Arabidopsis thaliana: one gene and its partners. The protein of the gene in region 1 interacts with the protein of each later gene in a biochemical or structural test. Each region holds a gene or a part of one and is shown in the gene's direction. Other genes may lie near its edges. The genes, in order: NAP1;2, TERT and ESD4.

Evidence for each region.
Region 2: the proteins of NAP1;2 (region 1) and TERT form a complex in vitro, tested with the Arabidopsis thaliana proteins (one study listed by BioGRID).
Region 3: of the proteins of NAP1;2 (region 1) and ESD4, one has a biochemical effect on the other in vitro, tested with the Arabidopsis thaliana proteins (one study listed by BioGRID).

What each region holds. Positions count from the first base shown.
Region 1 is NC_003071.7:8,433,700-8,441,776, forward strand, and holds NAP1;2 (nucleosome assembly protein 1;2), read left to right. Parts: upstream 1-4,756; 5' UTR 4,757-4,901; coding exon 4,902-4,947; intron 4,948-5,051; coding exon 5,052-5,095; intron 5,096-5,323; coding exon 5,324-5,419; intron 5,420-5,548; coding exon 5,549-5,641; intron 5,642-5,863; coding exon 5,864-5,951; intron 5,952-6,055; coding exon 6,056-6,117; intron 6,118-6,199; coding exon 6,200-6,384; intron 6,385-6,467; coding exon 6,468-6,645; intron 6,646-6,732; coding exon 6,733-6,776; intron 6,777-6,859; coding exon 6,860-7,076; intron 7,077-7,172; coding exon 7,173-7,190; intron 7,191-7,272; coding exon 7,273-7,341; 3' UTR 7,342-7,802; downstream 7,803-8,077. Other genes in the region: ckl5 (casein kinase I-like 5), read right to left, coding at 152-376, 463-551, 647-710, 806-888, 984-1,110, 1,220-1,304, 1,384-1,447, 1,541-1,602 and 6 more; RECA2 (recA DNA recombination family protein), read left to right, coding at 8,033-8,077. UniProt on the Arabidopsis thaliana protein: May modulate chromatin structure by regulation of nucleosome assembly/disassembly. May function in nucleotide excision repair (NER). Involved in somatic homologous recombination.
Region 2 is NC_003076.8:5,538,753-5,546,829, reverse strand, and holds the start of TERT (telomerase reverse transcriptase), read left to right. Parts: upstream 1-3,270; 5' UTR 3,271-3,385; coding exon 3,386-3,685; intron 3,686-3,840; coding exon 3,841-3,915; intron 3,916-3,996; coding exon 3,997-4,062; intron 4,063-4,143; coding exon 4,144-4,255; intron 4,256-4,434; coding exon 4,435-4,781; intron 4,782-5,077; coding exon 5,078-5,150; intron 5,151-5,272; coding exon 5,273-5,405; intron 5,406-5,590; coding exon 5,591-5,726; intron 5,727-5,989; coding exon 5,990-7,042; intron 7,043-7,214; coding exon 7,215-7,744; coding exon of another isoform or gene 7,745-7,760; intron 7,761-7,843; coding exon 7,844-8,077. Other genes in the region: AT5G16860 (Tetratricopeptide repeat (TPR)-like superfamily protein), read right to left, coding at 444-2,996. UniProt on the Arabidopsis thaliana protein: Telomerase is a ribonucleoprotein enzyme essential for the replication of chromosome termini in most eukaryotes. It elongates telomeres.
Region 3 is NC_003075.7:9,007,615-9,015,691, forward strand, and holds the start of ESD4 (Cysteine proteinases superfamily protein), read left to right. Parts: upstream 1-4,955; 5' UTR 4,956-5,154; coding exon 5,155-5,904; intron 5,905-6,205; coding exon 6,206-6,282; intron 6,283-6,362; coding exon 6,363-6,456; intron 6,457-6,540; coding exon 6,541-6,639; intron 6,640-6,935; coding exon 6,936-7,025; intron 7,026-7,123; coding exon 7,124-7,243; intron 7,244-7,471; coding exon of another isoform or gene 7,472-7,477; exon of another isoform or gene 7,478-7,490; coding exon 7,491-7,594; intron 7,595-7,886; coding exon 7,887-7,959; intron 7,960-8,077. Other genes in the region: TS1 (terpene synthase 1), read right to left, coding at 758-1,054, 1,144-1,353, 1,483-1,624, 1,940-2,161, 2,245-2,623, 2,699-2,978, 3,067-3,333. UniProt on the Arabidopsis thaliana protein: Protease that catalyzes two essential functions in the SUMO pathway: processing of full-length SUMOs to their mature forms and deconjugation of SUMO from targeted proteins. Cleaves precursors of SUM1 and SUM2, but not of SUM3 or SUM5.

The sequences.
Region 1 (8,077 bases):
GCACTTTCGTTTGGTATAATAAATCTATATTATCTCTCTCTTATATATCATCAGTTCTCTAGCTGTGAAAATAGCCTTTCTTCAGAAGAATCATAGACAACGTCACTGAGTGAGTACAGGTTTTGTTTTATAGCTGCTTTGTATGAATCAGTCAGAGAGCTTTGCTTTGGGGTTCTACATCGTCTCCATTTGATTGTGGCGTTGCTGCTGTCTCATCGCCTGCATTGTTATTGATCCGTAAACCATCAATGCCTTTGAGTGCGGTTTCATAGTTTGCATTGTCACTCCCGCCACTAAATGGTTCACGACTGCTCGTGTCCACAACTCGTCTTGACGATGATCCCTCTGATCGGCCCAAGTTCAAAGATCCAGGTAGCTGAGAAATCAATGGATCACAATGAACATCCCGACTCAAAAGAAGGTACCCGAGAAGAAAAAAAAACAGCATGACAAGAAACTTACCAGCTTGTCCTTTGCAATTGCAGAATCATTTCCATTCTTGTCTTTCTGCTTCAGGGTAAAATCCGGATTTGTCCTCTGATTTGGGACATCTATGGCAGACAAACACGCCCTTAGTATATAAATCAATGGACAACTATGCGGCTGCATTTTCATAAAGAAGGATAATAAGCATTCAAAAATATACCTGGACGCTTCTCAGAATTGCCAACCGCAGGGTTTAATCCAGAACTAGTTCCAACACCACCATCCTGAAAAAAGAAACATAGAAAGATCTTGCATTATTCATCTGTGTATGTATATGTATCATGAACGGGATAGAAACTTTAAAGTATCAAGAGTGTACATGGGGACGAGGTTGAGGGTTTCCAGATTGTGATTGCTGATACTTGTATACTGTCCAGTCAAACACAAAATCAAACTGAAAACCTGGGACAAACAAAATACTCATTTTGAGTCAACAGATGCTTCTGTATGAACTTAATAGCCTGAGAGGAAGAAGAGAGATAGAGAAAATGAATGACCTTCCCGGATAAAAAGGTTGCGGAATAGTCTCTTCAAATATGCATAGTCTGGCTTATCATCAAACCTAAGTGAGCGGCAGTAATGGAAGTAAGATGCAAACTCTGTTGGATGACCTCTGCATAACGTCTGCAAAGTTACAGTACTATCTATGATCAACCGTCTCTACCTGATCATAATCCTTTGAAACATGGATTCGTATAAGTTTCTAAATGTAAACCATATAAGAAGAACTTACTTCGATGGAAGTTGAAACCTTCTTTTCGCTGATCTTATCATACTTCTGTTTCTTGTTTCCAGCTTTCAGCCCTTGCCAAGGGAGACTACAAGAGAATAAGATATTAGAGATGGATTGGGAGACAAGAATCAGAACAGAAAGAAAAGTTACTTAATGACTCTCACCTTCCCTTGAGGAAATACATGAGGATGTAACCAAGCGATTCTATATCATCTCTCCGACTTTGCTCTACCAAGTGAAAAATGTCAAAAAGTAATCAGTGAAAGAGGAGAAAAAGATCCGCGATTATCATGAGGGTTTATAGAAAGTGATGGAGTATACCAATCCCTAGGTGAGTGTTCAAGCTGGCATACCTCGGAGTCCCAATTAGACTTTTATTCTCCCTGAATCATTTACACGTAAAATCCAAACAATAAAGAACCCGTTGTCAGGAAATCTGAAGCTGACATACAATATGCTGAAAATGCTGAATCTGTGACATCCAAAATCTTGTTACCTGTATGGGATATGTCTATGAGTTGAGCTGTCTCTATATTTCTTAGCCAAACCATAGTCTATGATGTAGACCTAGAGAAAGAGACCAAAATCAGTCATACAATAGCGAGACCCCAAAAACAAATCCAACTGAGAGAATTTGCAAAAGTAAGAAAACCTGATTTGCCCGCCTCCCTAAGCCCATGAGAAAATTATCCGGCTTTATATCACGATGAAGATACGACTTAGAATGAATGAACTCGAGACGATTTATCTGACACAAGATAAACCCAACAGTGAGAGAGTTACATTAAGAATGACAAGACACCAATCCAAAGCATAATTACCATTTGATCAGCAAGCATAAGAACAGTCTTCAAGCTAAACTGCCTCTTGCAATAACTAAACAAATCTTCAAGACTTGGACCAAGCAAATCCATGACTAAGACATTGTAGTCCCCCTCAACACCATACCATTTCATATTTGGAATCCCAGCTACATTAACGAACATACACAAGAAATGAATAACCAAATGAGAATTCAATAACAATAGAGATAAACATTTCATTGCATACTTCCACCCTGAAGAACTCTATATATCCTCGACTCATATGACAATTGCGGATGCGCAGTCTTCACACTTTCCTGCACACACACAAAAAAAACTAAGTTTTGATGATCCAAGTTGGGACTTTGAAGAGATGAAACACTCACAAGCTTAATAGCAACTTCTTCGTTAGTCTGAACATCAGTTCCTGCAATCAAAACAGTCTCATCAAACGACTATTGAAGAGATTTTATATGTATAGAGAGGGGAGGAACGAACCGAGGTAAATCTCTCCGAAAGAGCCGCTCCCAATTTTGCGGCCAAGGCGAAACTTGTTCCCAACACGAGGTTCCATACCCAATTGAAAAAACCCTAACTTTGTGGTTTTATCTATCTACTACGTCGAGCGGATTTCTCGATTTCTCATGCGGAGGAGAGTGAAGTGCGATGATCAAAACTAGGGCTTTTGCGAAGAAGAGGGGAAGAATCGAGCAGGTTGAAATTGGAAGTGAGTAGGTGAGGAAATTTAGGGAGATTCCATGGTGTTTTGGTTAAGCAACCAGAAGCAAGCAAGATGAAGAAGACTGCGCGTGTGTGTGTGTCTCGCTTAGCCTGTTGCTTTTGGTCTTTTCTATTCCTTTTCTCAATTTATTAAATATCTTTATTCGGTGAAAAAAATATACAGTATATTTCTTAGAAACTTTATAATAAGAATAAGGATTTTGTTTTTATATTTTCCTAAATTCCATAAATCTCTTAAGTTTACAAATTCATATATCTTTTAACATTTAAACAAATAACCAGACTTCTAGTAATATATATAAATTTATTTAGGGAGTGTTATTGGTTTGTGATGTATTCGAAGTTTCAGTGACTTAAAATGTTATGAAGAATTTGTTGTTATTCAATAAAGATTTTTCAATTTTTTGTTAAAGTTTGGTGTTATTAGTTTAAGATTTGTAAAAAGTAATATAAAATCTTCATAAATGTAGAGTTATTGGATTCATATTTTTATAAAGTTATTAAATTTTTTGTGTAATTCATTTAAAACAAAGAATCTATGATTATTATAATGAATTAAATTATTGTGTTATTGGTTTATGACTTTCTACCCTTTTTTTTATAAAATAAAGTTGTGAAAAATATCATACCCTTTTTTTTTACAAAATAAAGTTGTGAAAAATATCATAAAAATAAAGAAATTGTTTGAGAAACTTTACAAAATTATTAAAAACTAATCAACAAGTTTATTAATGACCTTAAACCAAAATAGGTACATATAATATTAGATAGATCATGCAAATGCGTTTGGTGGTTATGTTACTTTTGTATCATTTGATTGGCATGATGTTCTACATTTTTTTACCATTTCTCTATTCTTAAGTCGAAATCTTTAGGACCAAATAAGCATTTTTCCCTAAACTAACAAAGCAGCATCTCACTAGATGTTTTCCAATCAGATTTGCTTACTATAGTGTGCTAATATGAAATTTGAGTGACTCATGACAATGCATCAATCCAGATTAAGCATTAACATGTGATCAGCTAGCATTCATGAGAATATGAGAATTGTCTTCGAGCTAAAAGAAAGTAGACTCTTTTTTCACTTGAGAAACTCATGACATACTTTTTTTTTATATACATTTGTTTTTTGATGATTAGGTTAAACTTTTGTAATAAATAAATTTTTAGTTAAATAAATAAACTTCTATCATCAAAAGACTCGTGAGTTTCTTCCTATGTTGCAATGAAATGGAAACGAAAACGCGAATACGAAACGTTTCGGAAACGAGAAACGATTTTTTCTTAAAATTAGGGATTGGAAACGATTTTTTCTTAAAATTAGGGATTGGAAACGTATACACATACATACATATATATATATATATATATATAACATTAACATAAAACTATATTAAAGAAAAAATGGTTTAAACAATACAAGTCCAAAACATCAATATTAAATAAATAAACTAAAATTCTAAAAGATAAAAATTAAAAGGTTCAAGTTCAAATAGTTAATTTAGACCAACATTTTCATTTTCATTAGTTTCATCAAAGATAATATAAAGCTCTTTTCAAATCTGGTTTATCAAAAGAAATATCTTAAAACTCAAAGTCTTCCAAAATTAGTTATATGTATTAATAATTTTAATAATTTTAATTTTAGTTATTAAATTTTCAAAGTTGAAAAAAATTTGTCGTATGTCTATTTGGGAAACATGAGTTTCTATCTTTAAAACGTAAGTTTCCATCGTGTTTCCAAACATAAATTTTTAAAAAACGCGTTTCCGTTACGTTTTTCATGTTTCCGGAGAGTTTCTGTTTTCGTAACGTTTCGGAAATGGGAAATAGACCTCGGGGCGAGTTTCCATGCAACCTAGATTTCTTCTAACCAATAGAAATGCTCTTAAAAGCCTTTTTTTAAAAAAAATCAACAGAAATGCTCTTAAATGTTAAAAACAAATATTCATGCCAAATTTTGATGTAAAAATTTGTTATTTTCGCTTTAGTTGTGTCTTATTTCGGTCTGGTCATTTTCTCAAAGCCCTTTTAGTTATTTATATATATATTCTCTGTCTCGTATTTGTCCCCAAAAATCTAGGGTTTTAAGGTTTCTTATCCTTCCTCTTCCTCCGCCAGATTCTTTTCTTGCGAAGATGAGCAACGACAAGGACAGCATGAACATGTCCGATCTCTCCACCGGTAAGATATTATAATCTTATTGTCCTATAGAATGAGGCCTGGATTCTCTTTTGTTCTCTTGATTTATTGAAAAAAGCTTCTCTTGTTTTGTGTTTTGCTTATAGCTCTTAACGAGGAGGATCGTGCCGGGCTTGTTAATGCTCTTAAGGTGAGTTTTTTCTTCACGATATGATTTGCGTATGACTATCTGGAGATTGGGCTATTCATCTTTGTAACTTTTAGGGATTGTTTTCTCTTCCTGACTAGTTTTGAGAAATTGATTTGATTCTTATGGCTTAGAGAATTTGACTTTGGTTTTGAGGATTGTCTATGCATCTTAATTTGGTTGTTTGAAAGTTTGTGACTTTTCCTGATTTGATTTACGTGTTTGCTGCAGAACAAGTTGCAGAATTTGGCTGGACAACACTCTGATGTCCTTGAAAACTTGACTCCACCAGTCAGGAAGCGTGTCGAGTTTCTAAGAGAGATTCAGGTGAGTAAATTTTCAGCTTTTAGATGATCTTGGATTTTGTATTGGTTTTGAATTAGCTGGCTGTTCAGGTCTAATGAGTTTTTGGTGGAGCAAATTTATCTGATTCCTTTTGTATTTTAACCTTTGCAGAACCAATATGATGAGATGGAAGCAAAATTCTTTGAGGAGAGAGCAGCTCTTGAAGCTAAGTATCAAAAGTTATATCAGCCTTTATATACCAAGGTTTGAATACGGTCTTTGATTCTGCGAGATTCTTATGGTCTTTAGTTTCCTATTATTAGAATATCTTTGAAACACATGATGACACCTCAATTGATAAAGGTTTAATAAGACTTCTCTCTGTTGCTACTTACGTGAATGATTAGTGCTTCATGGTTTTCACTTCTTTCTGCATCATTCGTGATTGTAACTGATATTGATGGTCTTCTGCCTTCTGCATCACAGCGATATGAGATTGTGAATGGTGTGGTCGAAGTTGAAGGTGCAGCTGAAGAAGTAAAATCCGAACAAGGAGAAGATAAATCAGCTGAAGGTGTGTTTATCGATTCTTTTACTGAAACATGTTTATTTTTAGTATCTTATGATGATGATGGTGAACTCATGATTTTTATATGATATGAAACTGTCTTTCTGCAGAGAAAGGAGTACCAGATTTCTGGCTTATTGCATTGAAGAACAATGAAATTACTGCGGAAGAGGTTCGTTATTAGAATATTCTTCTTTTTGGTTTATAAAATGGCGATTCTCTTTATCATTATGTGGTTTTTTCCACGGTTTTAGATAACTGAGCGAGATGAAGGGGCTCTCAAGTATCTCAAAGATATCAAGTGGAGTAGGGTTGAAGAACCAAAAGGGTTCAAGCTTGAGTTTTTCTTTGATCAGAATCCTTACTTCAAGAACACTGTCTTGACCAAGACATATCACATGATTGATGAAGATGAGCCTATCCTTGAGAAGGCCCTCGGGTAATGTTTTGCTCTATCAAGTATTTACTGTTTATGTTCTGAAGACAATAAGTCTTTATTGACTGTCGTTTACTGCTGTTCAGGACGGAGATTGAGTGGTATCCTGGAAAGTGTTTGACACAGAAGATTCTAAAAAAGAAGCCAAAGAAAGGATCCAAAAACACAAAGCCGATCACTAAGACTGAGGACTGTGAGAGTTTCTTCAACTTTTTCAGTCCACCTCAAGTTCCTGACGATGATGAGGATCTTGATGATGACATGGTATTTCCATCTCCATAAGCAGTTTAGTTTTTAGAGTCAGTAATTAAGATTGTGTTGGATTTTAATCTGATCATCTAATATTCACAGGCTGATGAACTCCAAGGACAAATGGAGCATGATTATGATATCGGGTGTGTACCTTTCTATTTCATATTCAGTTCTCTTCACTTAGTTCAGTTCTAGGATCTGAGTCTGTCCACTGTTTATCCTGTAGTTCAACAATCAAAGAGAAAATCATCTCGCATGCTGTGTCATGGTTCACTGGTGAAGCTGTTGAGGCAGATGACCTTGATATTGAGGACGACGATGATGAGATTGATGAAGATGATGATGAAGAGGACGAGGAAGATGATGAGGATGACGAGGAGGAGGATGATGAGGATGATGACGAGGAGGAAGAAGCAGATCAAGGAAAGAAGAGCAAAAAGAAGGTAAATTATGTGGTTTTGTTCTACTTAAAACCTTCCTACATAGGAAACTAAAACCTCTGAAACTGATTTGGTGGTTTATCTTTTGTTTTGTTGCAGTCATCAGCTGGGCACAAGGTTTAACAATCAATCAATCTCGATCTTTTTTTTTTGTTGATAATGCAATGGCTAACCTGAGGTATCCTTTTTTAATGAACAGAAGGCTGGAAGAAGTCAACTTGCGGAAGGTCAAGCAGGTGAGAGGCCACCGGAATGTAAGCAGCAGTGAAGAAGTGAAGAATCTTGGCTTAGTTATGATGAAGAAGAAGAGTGAAGAGTGTCTTTGAGCCGAGGTTGTGTTTCTTTAATTTGCAGAGTCATGGTCCGGTTTATTATATATCAGTTTTGGGTGATTGGTTTGCTATTTAAAAAAAAAAAATGGGTTCTTTGGTTTGGTTTGTGTCTCTTGATTTTTCCTTTTGTAATGATCTTATGAATTTGTTTCGAGTTAATGTCGTTCTCTGGTCAGATTTCGAATTCAATTCTATTTATCCTCCCTCGTTAATGAGAGAATTTGTGAGACAATCTAGTTTACTTAAGATTGATCGAATTTTATAAACCAACATTACCAAACCGTCAAATAATTAAAACCAATCAATCTTATTTATCGGTTTGCATAACCCATCAATGAGCCGGTTTAGACATCGGTTTGAGTTTCTCTGGGAAAGACAAAAGTCAAAAACATCTCTGCCGACTTGTAAAAGACCGATCAACAGAAACCCAAAAAAAATAGTTGAAACGGAGGGAAACGAAAACCTAAAACCCTAAAAAACTCTTCCTTTTTTTTTTCCAGTGAAATTTCTCTTCTTCTCCGTTTTCATACAAGTCTGACTTCTGGGTAGTTGGAATTTTCCAGTTTTTGGTTTGTTTCTGTATCTGTGGTTTAAAAAAGTGGAGAAGAAGCTTTTTAGTGCTTTTCTATGGCGAGGATTCTCCGAAACGTTTATTCACTGAGAAGCTCTCTG
Region 2 (8,077 bases), on another chromosome or scaffold:
ATGACGAAATATTCATTTTAAAACATTTTCCCCATTTTTCATGGGCATGTAGCATTTCCCTCTACCAATGGTGATATCATCTTTTTTTGCTGGATTTGTATTAGAAGTATCAAAAGCTCGAGCCTTTTTTGGCACATTGAGAAAATGGCTTGTTCTAATGCCAGTTCATGGGAGTGTTGGCTATATGAACATTTCAAATGTAACAACAGATCTTGTTTATTGAAGATAAACCCATGGTATGGAGTGTGATTATCTACCAAAAATAAAGAAGAAAGCTATTCATCTACAAAATTTGCTTAAATTATATAATCTACATGAGGTGTTTAACACAGTGCTTATTATCCCTTTCTTTGTCCCTTTAGATCGTTCCTGAAATCTGCTGTAGCCATGTCAAAACCCTCAGGTTGCTTCCGTGTTTGGTAGAGTGCATAGAGAGAGCATCATCACCAGTAACCTTTGCATGAACACGATCCATTTTTGAAATGATGGAAGCGACTTGAGTCCCTCAATATAATATCATGATCAATGATTCTGGACATGTATGTGAATGCTGTATGGCAATCACCACATACCCGTAAATTCTTAGTAATCCTGATAGCAGCACCTTGCGGAGTTGTTAGAATACCATATGCAAGAGCTAACTTCTCACTATGCTCGAAAAGAAGATCATCTTTCTCTTCATCGTCTACATCATGAAGAGCAAAGCCTGTTTCAGGAACATAACCAATGTCCTTGATGCGTTGCATGTGATCTAAGAGGACCTGGTATATTTCCTTAGCGTGTGGATGAGTTTTATCACCCACGAAGAACGTAGTAGTTCCTTTAATTCCTTCAACCCAACTACAACCAGGTCTTTTCTTAACTCCTTTATGTCTCATCAATGATCTGATCCTAGTCACATCTTTCCAACGCCCTGCATTTGCATACAAATTTGAGAGTAATGTATATGATCCATCATGATTAGATGCTAATTCTGTTATTTTTTCCGCAGCGTACTCCCCGAGTTCAACTTTTCCGTGGATTCTGCAGCAACTGAGAAAAGCAACCCATACCACAGGAGGAGGCTCCATTGGCATTTCTTCAATGAGACGCAAAGCTGCATTCAACCGGCCAGCACGACCTAACAAGTCAACCAAACATGCATAATGCTCCGGACCAGGACTAACCCCAAAAACAGTTTTCATTCTATTGAAATACTCCATGCCCTGATCAATCATTCCTGAATGACTACAAGCATATAATACAACAAGTAATGTAACACCATCAAGCTTAAAACCTATTCTCCTCATTTCATCAAAGATTCCAAGAGCTTCTTCTCCATAACCATGCATACCATAACCCGTCATTAGAGATGTCCAAGTAACTTCATTTTTCGCCATCATATTGTCAAATACAAGGCGGGCATCACTGATGCTTCCACATTTTGCATACATGTCTATTAGACAGTTTGATACGAACAGCGGTACTGCATTCTGCTGGTTGCGCAACGCATAAGCATGAATCTGCTTGCCAATTCTTAGTGCAGCCAAACTGGCACATGCCACGAGGGCACATGATATGGTAAAAGCATTTGGTCTTGTTTGGCAATCTTCCTCAAACATCTCAGATAAAAGTTCGAGAGCTTTATTTGCATCCCCGTGCTGGGAGTATCCACCTATCATCACAGTCCAAGTCACAACATCCCTTTCCTTGGGGGAAAGTGAATCAAACATAGCACGTGCAGTATCAACCTTTTTGCACTTAGCGTACATGTCAATCAGTTGATTGATTACCATATTCTCATCACCATGACCGTTCTTACGCAAGTCTATGGGATATTTGATGGCATAACAATGAATCTCTTTACCATGCATCAATGCTCCAACAGAAGCACAACCCGAAAGAACCGAAATAAGCGTGACTTCATTTGGTTTTATCCCAGAAGACAACATCTGCCTACACACACCCAAAGCTTCATATCCAAGTCCCCGTTGAGCATACCCTGAAATAGCAGCACTCCAAGTAACAACATCCATTTTTATTTTCTCTTCCTGCATCTTCTCAAATAACCTAACAGCATCTTCAAACCTTCCAATCTGTGAATACCCAGCAACCATAGCATTCCAAGATACTACGTCCTTCACTGACATGTTCGAAAACACCGTGTTTGCCTCATCCATCATCCCACACTTTGCATACATATCCACCAAGCAATTCCCTACAAACATATTCTGTATCATCTCACTTGTGACTGCAAAACAATGCAATTGCTTCCCTAGTGAATGAGTTCCTAGGGAAGCACAAGGAGGAAGAACATTCACAAGGGTAATATTATCAGGTCTACATCCGAATTCATTGGTCATCCTGCTAAACATTTCAAGCGCCACCTTAGGTTTGCCTAACTTTGCATAACTTTCTATTATAGAGTTCCACGATACAACATCCCAAACAGACATTTCGTCGAACACCTTCCGTGCATCACTCAATGAACGACAACGGGAATACATAGCAACAAGCGCATTCCCAACAAAGACATTGGAGATAAATCCAGTTACCAGAGAAAGCGCGTGAGCAGATTCTCCACAACGAACGGAGGATATCTCGCCGCAAGCCTTGAAGACGAAGGGGAATGTGTAATTATCCGGCGTCCATGACAGAGAATGCATAAGGCCGAACAAATAGAGACATTTATTGGCGCAGCCATTGTCGCCGTAGCTGCGAATGAGTGAATTCCAATGGTAGACACCAGCGTCAGATGGAGGAAAACGACGGAGGAGAGATACGGCATGAGATAAGCAACCGACGGAGATATAGGTGGAAATGAGGTGGGAAGTGAGATTCAAGGTTAGGATTCCGAAAGAGAGGAGTTTCTGGTGAATAAGCTTGACCTGAGAGATGGTTTTGCATTTGTGAATAAACGGCGGTGTTATCTCCGGCGCCGATGTCGAGAAGAGAGAGACTTTAATGTACTGGTGAGATTTTGCGGCGGCGTTGGGGATGAGAAGGCGGCGGATCATACTACTGTAACTAGAGTGGCGGGTGATTTCTGCGTTTAAACTAAACAAATCAATTCGGTTATATCCCGGTTTTAGATTGGAAATTTGAAGAAAGTAATGAAACCGGATGTGAAAAGAAGAAGAAAGTATAATAGACCGATTAAAATTTAAAGCGAATTTCGGTTCGGTTTATGTGCTAAGCGACCTGCGTTTGCGGTTGAGTGGACGCTTTGGATAGCGTTTGTAGCTCAGCTTTGAATTGTTTTGAAATTTTCAAAATCGCAGTTTATAGTTTCGAGAACCCAGAAGACCTTTAATCTCCCGCCTCTTTCACACCATCAGACTCCATTATCGAAGCTCGTTCACTCTTCTCTCTCTCCAAATTCGAGAGAAAGGAGGAGGAAGGTGTAATGCCGCGTAAACCTAGACATCGTGTACCGGAGATTCTATGGAGGTTATTCGGAAACAGAGCCAGGAATTTAAACGACGCAATAGTAGATCTGATTCCTAACCGGAATATCCAGCCGGAGCAATGCCGATGCCGGGGTCAAGGTTGTCTCGGTTGCAGCAGCGATAAACCGGCGTTTCTGCTGCGTTCCGATGATCCCATTCACTACCGTAAACTTCTTCACCGTTGCTTCGTTGTACTTCACGAACAAACCCCTCCGCTTCTGGATTTCTCTCCAACATCTTGGTGGTCACAGAGAGAGGTAAGATTCTTCTTCCCACTGTACTATACATTGCTTTGAGTGCTTAATTTGAGATATTTCAAGACGTGGCTACTCCTTATAAAATGCCTCTATGTTATCTTATTTTGTATGATGTTGCTGATTTCTAAACATTTTGCTTCAATTGAGTTTATCAGATTGTTGAAAGGATTATTGAAATGATGCAATCTGGATGTGATTGCCAAAATGTGATATGTGCCAGATATGATAAGGTGAATTCTTCTTCTTCCTTCTCAAACTCAATGTAGAGTGCTGATTTTCTTAGCCTAATGATTTCTCGTCTCCTTTGACAGTATGATCAGTCGAGCCCTATTTTGGAGCTATTGACAAGTTCATCTTGGGAGTTTCTTCTCAAGCGGGTTTGTTCTCAAACCCTTTTGATGATTTACTTTCAATATTCGAGTTTGCGGTCACTAATATTCAAGTTCCCTTGTTTATAGGTCGGTCATGACGTCATGGTTTATCTTCTACAGCAAACATCAATATTCTTACCATTACTAGGGAAAAAACACCAGCAAGTGTCTGGACCTCCTCTATGTATCAAGCATAAGCGTGAGTCTCAGAATTAAACTTGTATCCGAGCTCTTCTGTTGGCTTTCTTTTGAAACTTCCACTTTCTTGTTGGTTCTCTGAATACTTATGATTTGTCTGTGACTGCTTGGTTATCGATTATCAACTTCTGGTTTTTAGTTCATATTAACTTAGTAAAGTTTTCCTTCTCCATGGTATAGGGACATTGTCAGTCCATGAAAACAAAAGAAAGAGGGATGACAACGTTCAGCCACCAACGAAAAGGCAGTGGCTTTCTTCAGCTGTCGATGACTGTCCTAAGGATGACTCTGCAACTATTACGCCCATAGTTGGCGAGGATGTAGACCAACATAGAGAGAAAAAAACTACTAAGCGTTCAAGAATATATCTTAAGCGTCGGCGAAAGCAGAGAAAGGTCAATTTCAAAAAAGTTGACTGTAATGCTCCTTGTATAACTCCCAGTACAAATGGTAAAGTCTCAACTGGTAATGACGAAATGAATCTGCACATTGGTATAAATGGAAGTCTCACTGATTTTGTAAAGCAGGTAATGTTCGTAACAATGATATTGATCAATCAAGTTTAAGTTGAAAATGCACAAGTTTAAACATAAAGTTATTGCTTAAAATTACTAAGAGACGTGTATAAATTGCTCTTGATTTATCCTCAGCCTTGAGAAATTGATGGGACTATTTTTGTAGTTGTACTTTGGTGTATTTTAAAAACTGTATCATTTATCTTGTTGTATTCTGGTGGTTATTAATATTCTTCCTGACACTTCATTACCTTCAAATTCGACAATCTGTTCTTGTATTTGTAAGATTTAATCACTGTTTTTTGTAGGCTAAACAGGTTAAAAGAAACAAGAATTTCAAGTTTGGCCTCTCAGAAACGTATTCAGTTATACCACCAAACCGTATCCTTCAGTGGTTTTGACATGTTCAATGACTTGTAGCAACGATAGCTTGATGGAAGTTTAAACGTTACTCTTCTCTATACAGTTCTTCTGCATTGTGAATGATTCCTTATGATATACAGACATTTTAAAAACCTTGAGGCCCAACTGCTCTGATTCAAAGCTCCTAATGAACCATATATTTGGTGAAGTAAATGTTTGGTCAACGACGCCATCTCATGGCAAAGGCAATTGCCCCAGTGGATCTATTTGCTTGTAAGTCATCCATTTATTCTTGTAAGTTCTTCGGCTTACTCTGAGACTTGGAGCATGTATTCAGATAATGTAGAGCACATATCTAAGTAGTCTGAGTTATAAAAGGAATTTGTTTAAAAGTTTTGTTGAGGTAACTGATGCAAAGAAGAAAATGATATCATGATGTCTTTTACATTGATTTGCAGATACCATTCATTGCTCAAGTCTCTTAAAAATCTAATAGGAAAAACAAAGTCTTCACATTTAAAAATGCTACTAGACAAACACTGTCCTGTTCTCTTGCTGCAAGAGGATGCATTGAAGTCCGGAACGACTTCTCAGGTTGATATTTTTCTTTTAGAGATGGTTTTCATATTTAATTTCCCTAGCGTTTTTCGTTTGATGTCTTTTGAGTATTTCTATTTCAGAGAAGTTATGTTGAATATTCGAATATGTACAACAAAAAGAAACTAGAAATGGAAAATCAACACAGTTGCTACTTTATAGACTTTGGATATATAGTGCAAACCTGCATAAGAATTCATATCCGTGGCACTTCCAAGTGCTTCCTTGAAGTGACGAACCTTGCATATCTTGTATTACAGAGTTCAAGGAGGCAAAAAGCAGATAAGCTGCCTCATGGATCAAGTTCATCACAAACGGGAAAACCCAAATGTCCCAGTGTTGAAGAAAGGAAGCTGTATTGCACGAACGACCAAGTAGTTTCCTTTATTTGGGCCATCTGTAGGTACATTGTTCCAGAAAGTTTGCTTGGGACCACTCATCAGATGAGGGTGCTTAGGAAAAATATAGCGTGGTTTGTTTCAAGGCGACGAAATGAGAAATGCACAGTGAATCAGTTTTTGCATAAAGTGAAACCATCAGATTTCCCATTCTTTGCTAGAAAAGAGTTATGCTGTATGGTCAACGGACATGAACTCCAAAGTGAATCCATCAGAAGTACACAGCAGATGTTGTGCACGAAATGGATTTCTTGGCTTTTTTTAGAGATTGTCAAGAAATTGGTGCACTTCAACTTCTATGCCACTGAAAGCCAAGGAGGACGGCTAAATATTTATTATTACCGGAAAAGGAGCTGGGAAAGATTAATAAGCAAAGAAATTAGCAAAGCCCTTGATGGATATGTCCTAGTAGACGATGCTGAAGCTGAAAGTAGCAGGAAGAAGCTATCAAAGTTTAGATTTTTACCAAAGGCCAATGGTGTGAGGATGGTGTTAGACTTTAGTTCTTCGTCAAGGTCGCAATCTCTTCGTGATACACATGCTGTTTTGAAGGACATCCAGCTCAAAGAACCAGATGTTCTTGGGTCTTCTGTCTTTGACCATGATGATTTCTACAGAAACCTATGCCCATATCTGATCCATTTAAGAAGTCAATCTGGAGAACTTCCTCCTTTGTACTTTGTGGTTGCGGATGTATTCAAAGCATTTGATTCAGTCGACCAGGGTAAGCTGCTTCATGTCATTCAAAGTTTTCTGAAAGATGAATACATCTTAAACAGATGTAGGCTGGTCTGCTGTGGGAAGAGATCCAATTGGGTAAACAAAATACTAGTCTCGAGTGACAAAAATTCTAACTTTTCAAGATTCACATCAACTGTTCCATATAATGCACTGCAAAGTATCGTGGTTGATAAGGTATGCTTCTTTTTGACCTAGAGCTTTTTGATCTTTTTGCAGAGGGTAAAATACAAAACTATTGGACTACTTAAAAAAATCTCTAGAGATCTCTTTTCTTAGTGCTTGTAGCGTCCCTGTTGTTCTTTACTTATTTGCTTAACGGTGTTATGGTTTTGGTCCAACCTTCTAGGGAGAAAACCATCGAGTGAGGAAAAAGGATCTAATGGTTTGGATAGGAAATATGCTAAAGAACAACATGCTGCAGTTGGATAAAAGCTTCTATGTACAAATAGCTGGAATACCTCAGGGACACAGATTATCATCCTTGTTATGTTGTTTTTACTACGGGCATCTCGAGAGGACTTTGATCTACCCATTCCTCGAAGAAGCCTCTAAAGATGTGTCTTCTAAAGAATGCAGTAGAGAGGAAGAGCTTATAATTCCCACGAGCTATAAGTTACTGAGATTTATTGATGACTACCTTTTTGTGTCTACCTCAAGAGATCAGGCGAGTAGCTTCTATCACAGGTTGAAGCATGGATTTAAAGATTACAACTGCTTCATGAACGAAACAAAATTCTGCATAAATTTTGAAGATAAAGAAGAACATAGGTGTTCTTCTAATAGAATGTTTGTGGGAGATAATGGAGTTCCTTTTGTCAGATGGACGGGTTTGCTTATTAATTCCCGCACATTTGAAGTTCAAGTTGACTACACAAGGTCTGCCTCATCTCCTGTATGTTTCCTTCATAAGTATACTTGTTTGGCTCTGTTTCCTCAGCTTTTATTTATAATTTTGCCTCAAATTCATGGAAACAGGTACTTGAGTGGCCATATAAGCTCAACTTTTTCTGTAGCTTGGCAGAACAAACCAGTTAGAAATCTTCGGCAAAAATTGTGTTACTTCTTGGTTCCGAAATGTCATCCAATTCTATTTGACTCGAACATCAACTCGGGAGAAATCGTCAGGTTAAACATCTATCAGATCTTTCTGTTGGCTGCAATGAAGTTTCACTGTTATGTCTACGAGGTGTCCCGGTTTTGGAAGCTTCA
Region 3 (8,077 bases), on another chromosome or scaffold:
CGGTGATGGAGGCTTAGAAGTTTGAATGAGACAATTCAGATAAGTAACTTGGTACCTTAGTAGGGTGTTTCGGTCTGACCTTAGGTACTGAAATCACTGCAGTATCTGTAGTAACAGTCTCCCTAGAACCAAATGATGTACTAGGTGGATTTTGTGTATGATGTGTTTGAGATGATGGTGATGAATGATGCGCAGTATGTATGTCAGATGAATCTAATGCAACAGGAATAGGTAATGGTGTAATAGATGCAGGGAAAACATCACACGAATCTGTCAGATGCATTGTATCATATGGAAAGACAGTTTCATGAAACACCACATTACGAGAGACTGAAATGATATTAGTATCAAGATTTAAAACCAGATGCATAACCTAAGAAAACACATTCATTTGCACGTTGACTGGACTTATGTCTATCTTTCTGTAAAGTAGAAACATAACATAAACAACCAAAGCAACGTAAGAAATCATAAGCAGAGCTTTCTTAGTTAACAATTCTATTGGTGACAAGTTTTTCAGTAATCGAGATGGAGTTCTATTTATCAGAAAAAACTGCAGTTTTAGAAGACTTCAAAAAAATAAAAAAACTTCGTAGAGTTATGAACAAATTTGTGGGGTTCAAATGATGTGAATTCCGCTAAATTGTTGGAGACATGATTCTTCCATCAGATCTCCACACATTTTGTTATTCAATTAACAAAAAAAAAGATAGAAATAGAAGCTGAAATAAAAACCAAATATACTAATTATATTGTTTCAAAGACGAATAAGATCAACAAACAAAGATGTGATATGATCCTTAAATCTTCCTTCGGGATGTGTGTATTCTTCGCCAGACCTATAAGTGAACTCTATCATTTTTCCAAAATCAATGGCCCGCTTTAGAATTTGCCGCGGCACACTCTTTGTTGTCTTTAATATCTCCTCGTTCACAGTTGTATCCAAGTCCCTAGCCATCTTTTGAAGCCTTGTGAAAGTTTCCTCCTCGGTAACTTTGTATTGCTTCATATAGTACATGATGGCATTAACATCAAACCCTCTGCTCATGTCACCCTGTTAGATATTACTAGTCATGTTTAACGTATAATGTCTTGATCACTAACCAAACAAGAAGAAACGCTTGATCATACAATTTTTGGTACCTCAAAGCCGGCTATGTCATTCATTAGACGAGCCCTTTTAGCCTGAGCCTCAACAAATTTTGGTCTGGATTTTAGCCATTTATAAGCTTGTTCCCTAGAACTTTGTCCCAACCCAAGAAAACTGCATGCTATACTTACATACATTGTTACTTCGACTCCTCCAATCTCCAAGTACTCGTCAAATGTAGGCACCACGTCTCCTTGTTCCCACTTGGTAAAGCAAAAGTTGGATCTTAAGTATACCTTGAACTGCTTATTAGGAGCATATAGAAGCACGTTAAACAACATCTAACTATTTAATTTTTTGATATTTGGATGTTACTTATATATATACACTACCTCTTCAAGTGCACCTTGCACGTCATAAGACAATCCCTCTTCCATTATGCCTGCGTTTTCACACTCTTCGAAAGTATTCCAAGCGAACTTGAAGACGGTTTTCATATAATCTGGTAAACTGTCCATGCAATCTGGATCCCATCTGTACATGCATACTGAGATATTTGTACGGGATATATATTCACCAAAAAAATTTACCCTATGATCTATTATATATGAAACCATATTTCTAGAAAAATTTGATTTCTTAATGTTTTGTGTTCATATATTTTATGATTTTACATAGATATTAAAGAAATAGACAGAATAAATATATTTAGTCACGTAAAGTATTGGAATAATTAATGTATTTGATTTCACTTAGGATCTCTAATCTATTTCACTAGGATTTTCTTTCATGGTTGGGTTGGCACTGGCCTTTGAGATAAGATACGCATTCGTGTTTGGATGATGTTACCTTTCCACGCATTGAACAAGAGCTGCAACTTCAGAAACATTACCGTATCTATCACACGTGTCATCAACAAGGGTGAAGACTGTGTTGATCTTAGCTAGTGAAACTCTCCCAAGTGAAAATTGTGGCTCGAAATATATCATTATTGCAAATAAATAGCATTCGATCAATCTATCCCTGAAGTAAGGTGGGAGTTTAGATGCAAGGTCTTGCTGCTTCCACCATCTGCAAAACATGTCAATGACTATTGTCAACTTGTATCGCAAAAAACATATAGCTAGAAGCACGAAAAATCTAGAGTATAGTACTTGGTCAGAGTTTTCAATTCTTGAATCCAATTTAGCTGCAAAAACTTGAAATTGATCTTGGCAAATCTAAGTAGCATCTTGTTGTGATCTTCTTCTTGTTCATAGAAAGAAATGTATTCCCTCGCGAATATCATTTCGGCATTGTAATGTTGAGGCATGCAAAGAGCATTTCGTATACGCATTAAGATATGGGGAGAACTTGCTCCAGCTCTAGCTAACGACTCCAAGTTTCTTGTAGTGAAGCTTAACGCTTCCTCCAAGATATCTTCTCTTGTTGTCCTTAAGTGAGCAGCTTCATACAAACTCACCATGCCCTTGACATCACTGGTTATAGATTCCATAAACTTTTCATTCTCCCCTTTGAATCTCTTGAAAACATCTATTGGTCAATAGGAGAATCTTGTTAATACATATGAATCGATTACAAAAAAATGTACTGGTAGATAACTTTTACCGGTAGACATGTTGTAACCGTATGTCCTGAAAACCCAAAACATGATGGAAATCGTGTACAAATCATCTTCACCGGCTATCATCTCCTGTATCTTTTCAAAACCCTCTTCTAGACTCTGCTCAATCTCATCTTCAAAGTGAAACGCTACACCAAGGCTCACAAGCATATATATGAAAAGAATCCTCTTCTTGGTCGACTCAATGCTTTTCGAAGAAAACATGAGCATCTCCCCTACTTCCGGCTTTAGTCTCTCAATCTCTTGGGCAAGGGCATTCATTTCCTAACAATAATATCATATGTTCATACCCGTTACATCGATCTTTTACATTTATTATATATATGTTTGTCAGTGTGTATTATAGACTCACCGAGACATCAACTTGAGCAGAGAGGAAATGGTGACCCCATTTTGAAAGCGGCAGTCTCTTGAACTTGCGATTACTTTCTTGATCATGACAGGCCCGAGTAGGGGTGGCCTTCATGCGAACAAGCTTTCCATGCTGACCTGAAAATGACTTGTGGGGAAAGCTAGAGAGTTTTCTTACCGAAAATAAATTGGAACGTAAAGGAAGAGAGAGTATAGATCCATAAGCTGATATGCATTGCATGTTTACTACTAGTGATATGGAATACATTTTCACCACCAAATTTATAGGCAAAACATAAGCGTTTTCATTAAGTCATCTTTTGAAAAGTTTTGGAAGAATGTATATTAATATCCCCATATTTATCTTCTTCAGTGTATAATACAATCTATGTTGGGACCATGATATTTTCTGAATTTATAGTGATATTAGTTTATCTTTAAATTGATATTTATTAATCTATATAGATCTTTTTTTAATTATTTAATTTTTTAAAGAATACGAGTTGACACAATTCAATATACATCAAATTAATGACTTGGATGTTGAAATTTGTGTAGTATTAGAATTGAAAATTTAATATTTCAAAAAACTCATTTGACAATAAATCACAATGACTATAACTGAATTCATTTATATAATAGATATACATACATCTAAGTTTATGATTAATAACCTCAACTATCAGATTTTTAAATGTAGTAGACTATTGAAATGAAAATAATGCAGATTAAGAAGTTGTATACTTATAAAAACTTATGACTAATTGTATTAGGAAGTTATAAACGATACTACAATATGATAGTTTTAAAACACAACATAATTTAATGAAAATTAGAGACAAAATCATTGTTTGATGTAATAATAGTTCAAGACAAACTCTAACAAACATTCAATAGTTCAAAAAATATTTAAACTATAGATTATATATATTATCGTATATATATTATATTTTTGTGGTTATTAATTTATGATGTTATTAAAATCATATTTTTTATATAGGGTTTTAAAAAATTGTTAACTTATTATTTTATCAAATTATGTTAAATTTTACATTCACACGACTTGAAACTAATATAATATTATCTTCTTGTATTTATTAATTTATCAAAAATTAATTTGTAGAGGTTTTACTGTAAAACATGTTTAGTTTTTCATTTTTTAAAAAACCTCCAAGTGGCAAAAATAAGATCCATCTCCATCTAAAAAAGTGCAAACAAATCTCCATCATTTAAAAATCAACGTTAACATCCATATCTATTGTTGTTGTTTTTTACTTCTTTTTCTCTTGGTCAAACTCTACGTTAGTTTGATCAATAAATATGACAAGAATTTTTGCAGTCTCATAGGCGTCTTTGTAAAGGTTAGTTAGCGTCTACATAATTTTCCGAAAGATATAATTTTCTTGAGATACAGTTAACTCAATTACTGAAATGTAATAACTTTCTAAAAGTTGTGGCTATTAAACAAAATTGTGAAAAAATTTAAACCAAAAGCCACTTCAAAAACAAAGAAAACCATAACCATTAATCAAAATTCTTTTTTTTTTGTTAACAAGTACTAGTTGCATTAAATTGTAAACATATGGTGGTGTTGTATATGTTTGATACAAAGAACCTATATAACAAAGGCTTGTTGGGATAGTGCATCTGCCACATTATTTCTTTTCCGATTGACATGTCCATAGATGAGTGTGATAGCTTCAACATCCAATATCGTATACCACCAAAGACTGAAGAGTAGTACCAAGAATATTTATATATATATTTATTTATTTATTTATTTTGGTAAGGAGAATATTTATATCATGATCCCACCATACTTTAATTGTTATGAAAAAATTTTAATTTGATTTTCATAAATTTTATAGTTTAGTTAAGTATAAAACCACAATTTTTTTTCTTTCAAATATTATTTTTGGAGAAAACCCCCAAATTTAAAAGGAAAGAGAAAAAATCAAATCATTCATCTTTGAGCTTTCTTTTCTTCTACAGAACCCTAATTTCATGTTCTAGGTGTCTCTCGAATGGTTCTCATCTCATTGATTACTCAATCTCTAGGGTTTAGTGGTTCATCCAAATTCGTACCCTAATGGGTGCCGTAGCGATCAATCGTAAACGCAGCGACGAATCCTTCAATTTCATTAATCAACAATCAACCAACCCTTTACGAAATTCACCGTATTTCCAAGCTTCCAAGAAACGAAGATTCTCATTCGCTATGTCTGAAGATTCTGGTAAGCCAGCGTCTTCAAACCCAACAATTTCGAGGATTTCAAGGTACCCTGATGCTAAAGCTCCTCTTAGACGAGAGATTCATGCTCCTAGTAGAGGAATTCTTAGATATGGAAAGGCAAAATCTAATGATTACTGCGAAAAGGACGCAAATTTCTTTGTTCGTAAGTATGATGATGCAAAGAGATCAGCTTTGGAAGCTTTGAGATTCGTTAATAAAGGTAAAGACTTTGTTGATTTGGGTGATGAGGTTGAAAAGGAGGAAGTTGTTTCTGATGATTCAAGTGTTCAAGCAATTGAAGTTATTGATTGTGATGATGATGAGGAGAAGAAGAATCTTCAGCCTTCGTTTTCTTCTGGTGTTACTGATGTTAAGAAAGGGGAGAACTTTAGAGTTGAGGATACTAGTATGATGCTGGATTCGTTGTCGTTAGATAGAGATGTCGATAATGATGCTTCGAGCCTCGAAGCTTATAGAAAGCTTATGCAAAGTGCGGAGAAGAGGAATTCAAAGTTGGAAGCTTTGGGTTTTGAGATTGTGTTGAATGAGAAGAAGTTGTCACTGCTGCGTCAGTCTCGCCCAAAGACTGTGGAAAAGCGTGTTGAGGTGATGAGATTTATACTAATCTTTCTTGAATTGGATATAATTAATGACATTGCTTTGTTTGGATTGTTTCTCTAAAATGCATATGATGTTATCGCCTACTGTTTGTTAGTGTAGACTGAAGATAGTACAATACTTGTTGGCTTTATTGGTTATTAAGCTGCAGTTATTACTTATGCACACAGAGTCAAAGTTCTTCTACTTATTAGAGTATATTGTAATCTTAGCGTTGAGATCGTTAGTGTGTTTCTATGTTTATTGTTGTTGTTAACACTATGTTTGTTGTGTTGTTGATATAATGAAGGTGCCTCGTGAACCTTTTATTCCTCTCACAGAAGATGAAGAGGCTGAAGTCTACCGTGCCTTTTCTGGGAGAAATAGGTATGGTTTCTTAAGACGCTCTAGCATGTTGAGTGATTTTTTTTAGTCTAACCAAAAACCAAATGTCTCCCATTTTTCAGAAGGAAGGTCTTGGCTACTCATGAAAACTCAAACATTGATATTACTGGAGAAGTTCTGCAATGCCTTACACCATCTGCATGGCTAAACGACGAGGTACAACTTGTTCCATAATATTCTACACAATTAAGAGCTCTTAAATCACATTTTCTTTTGCTGATTTCTTGTTCTGTTTTATAGGTTATCAATGTCTACCTTGAACTACTCAAAGAAAGAGAAACTAGAGAGCCCAAAAAGTATTTGAAGTGTCACTACTTCAATACCTTTTTCTACAAAAAGGTTTGTTTTCTTTCTGCTCAGATGATTTTTAACAAAAATTTGATCCTTTTTGCCTCATGTCAGTTCGACTGAGTAGCTGCTACTTGCTTCCATAAAAATGATAAGCAGTATGTTTAAGTGATCTTTATGATAAGATTATTGATATATTTGGCCTTGTTTCTCCCCATGGTACTCAGTTGTCTCTGGCTTCTGTATCCCATGAATGGCAGTGAGTAACCAAGACAAGCTGTGGCCTTCTTATACGTTGATGAATCCTCTGGCACTTAAATCTGTCTTTCTTTAATTATTTTTTTCAGCTGGTAAGCGATTCTGGTTATAATTTTAAAGCTGTCAGGAGATGGACTACGCAGAGAAAGTTGGGATATGCTCTTATTGACTGTGACATGGTAATTTTGTCGAAGAACCTGAATTTGAAGATTCTCTTGTTAATATTACGCATGTAGTCCAATTTATTTATGTTTAACTTAGTCTGTGCCCTCTGCAGATATTTGTTCCCATCCACAGGGGTGTGCATTGGACCTTGGCAGTAATTAACAACAGGGAAAGCAAGCTCTTGTATCTTGATTCACTGAATGGAGTTGATCCTATGATTCTGAATGCTCTGGTATGATTTAATTTCTAACTCTTATTCGCTTTATTTAGTCTATTAATAACTGACATGTTGGATGCATTAAAAGATATTAGATGCTGATAAATCTTTATCATCATTTCTTGATTCTGAAATCTGTTTGGAGACATTATGGAGATGCCAGAAGCTGTTATTGCTTTTTAAATCGGACACTACTGTGAAAGTGTTCTAACCATATATACTAGTCGTTATAGCTAATGCCAGATCTGATATTCTGCTTCAGGCAAAATACATGGGTGATGAAGCAAATGAAAAAAGTGGAAAAAAGATTGATGCTAATTCGTGGGACATGGAATTTGTGGAAGACCTTCCCCAACAAAAGAATGGGTATGTAACTATGCTTGAACTTGCTATGATCCATGATCATGTGAAAGGAACTATCTTGTTAAAGAGATAACCTCTGTAGAATCAGATACTTGTCTTCTGATGTGGGAATATGGGTTTTTAAGACAAAGGATAGATCTGGTTTGAGATTGATTAGGAGAAATTCACCTGATATAAATTTTGATAATGGAATCAACAAGGGTATAACTTAACTGTTCTTATGCTCTTTAGCACTCTGGTTAAGCTCTCTGCTAACTCTATATTGTTTCTTTGTTGCAATCTTTTATATTCTCAGGTATGACTGTGGAATGTTTATGCTTAAGTACATCGATTTTTTCAGCAGAGGCCTGGGGCTATGTTTCAGCCAGGTAAGCTATCAGAATCCAAATCTCTGAATGCCTCAAGAAACTGTAGTTGAGAATAAAAACTGGTTGTCTTGAAACAATATGGAATTAGTATATCCCCCTAGCAGTTTATGTAACTTGT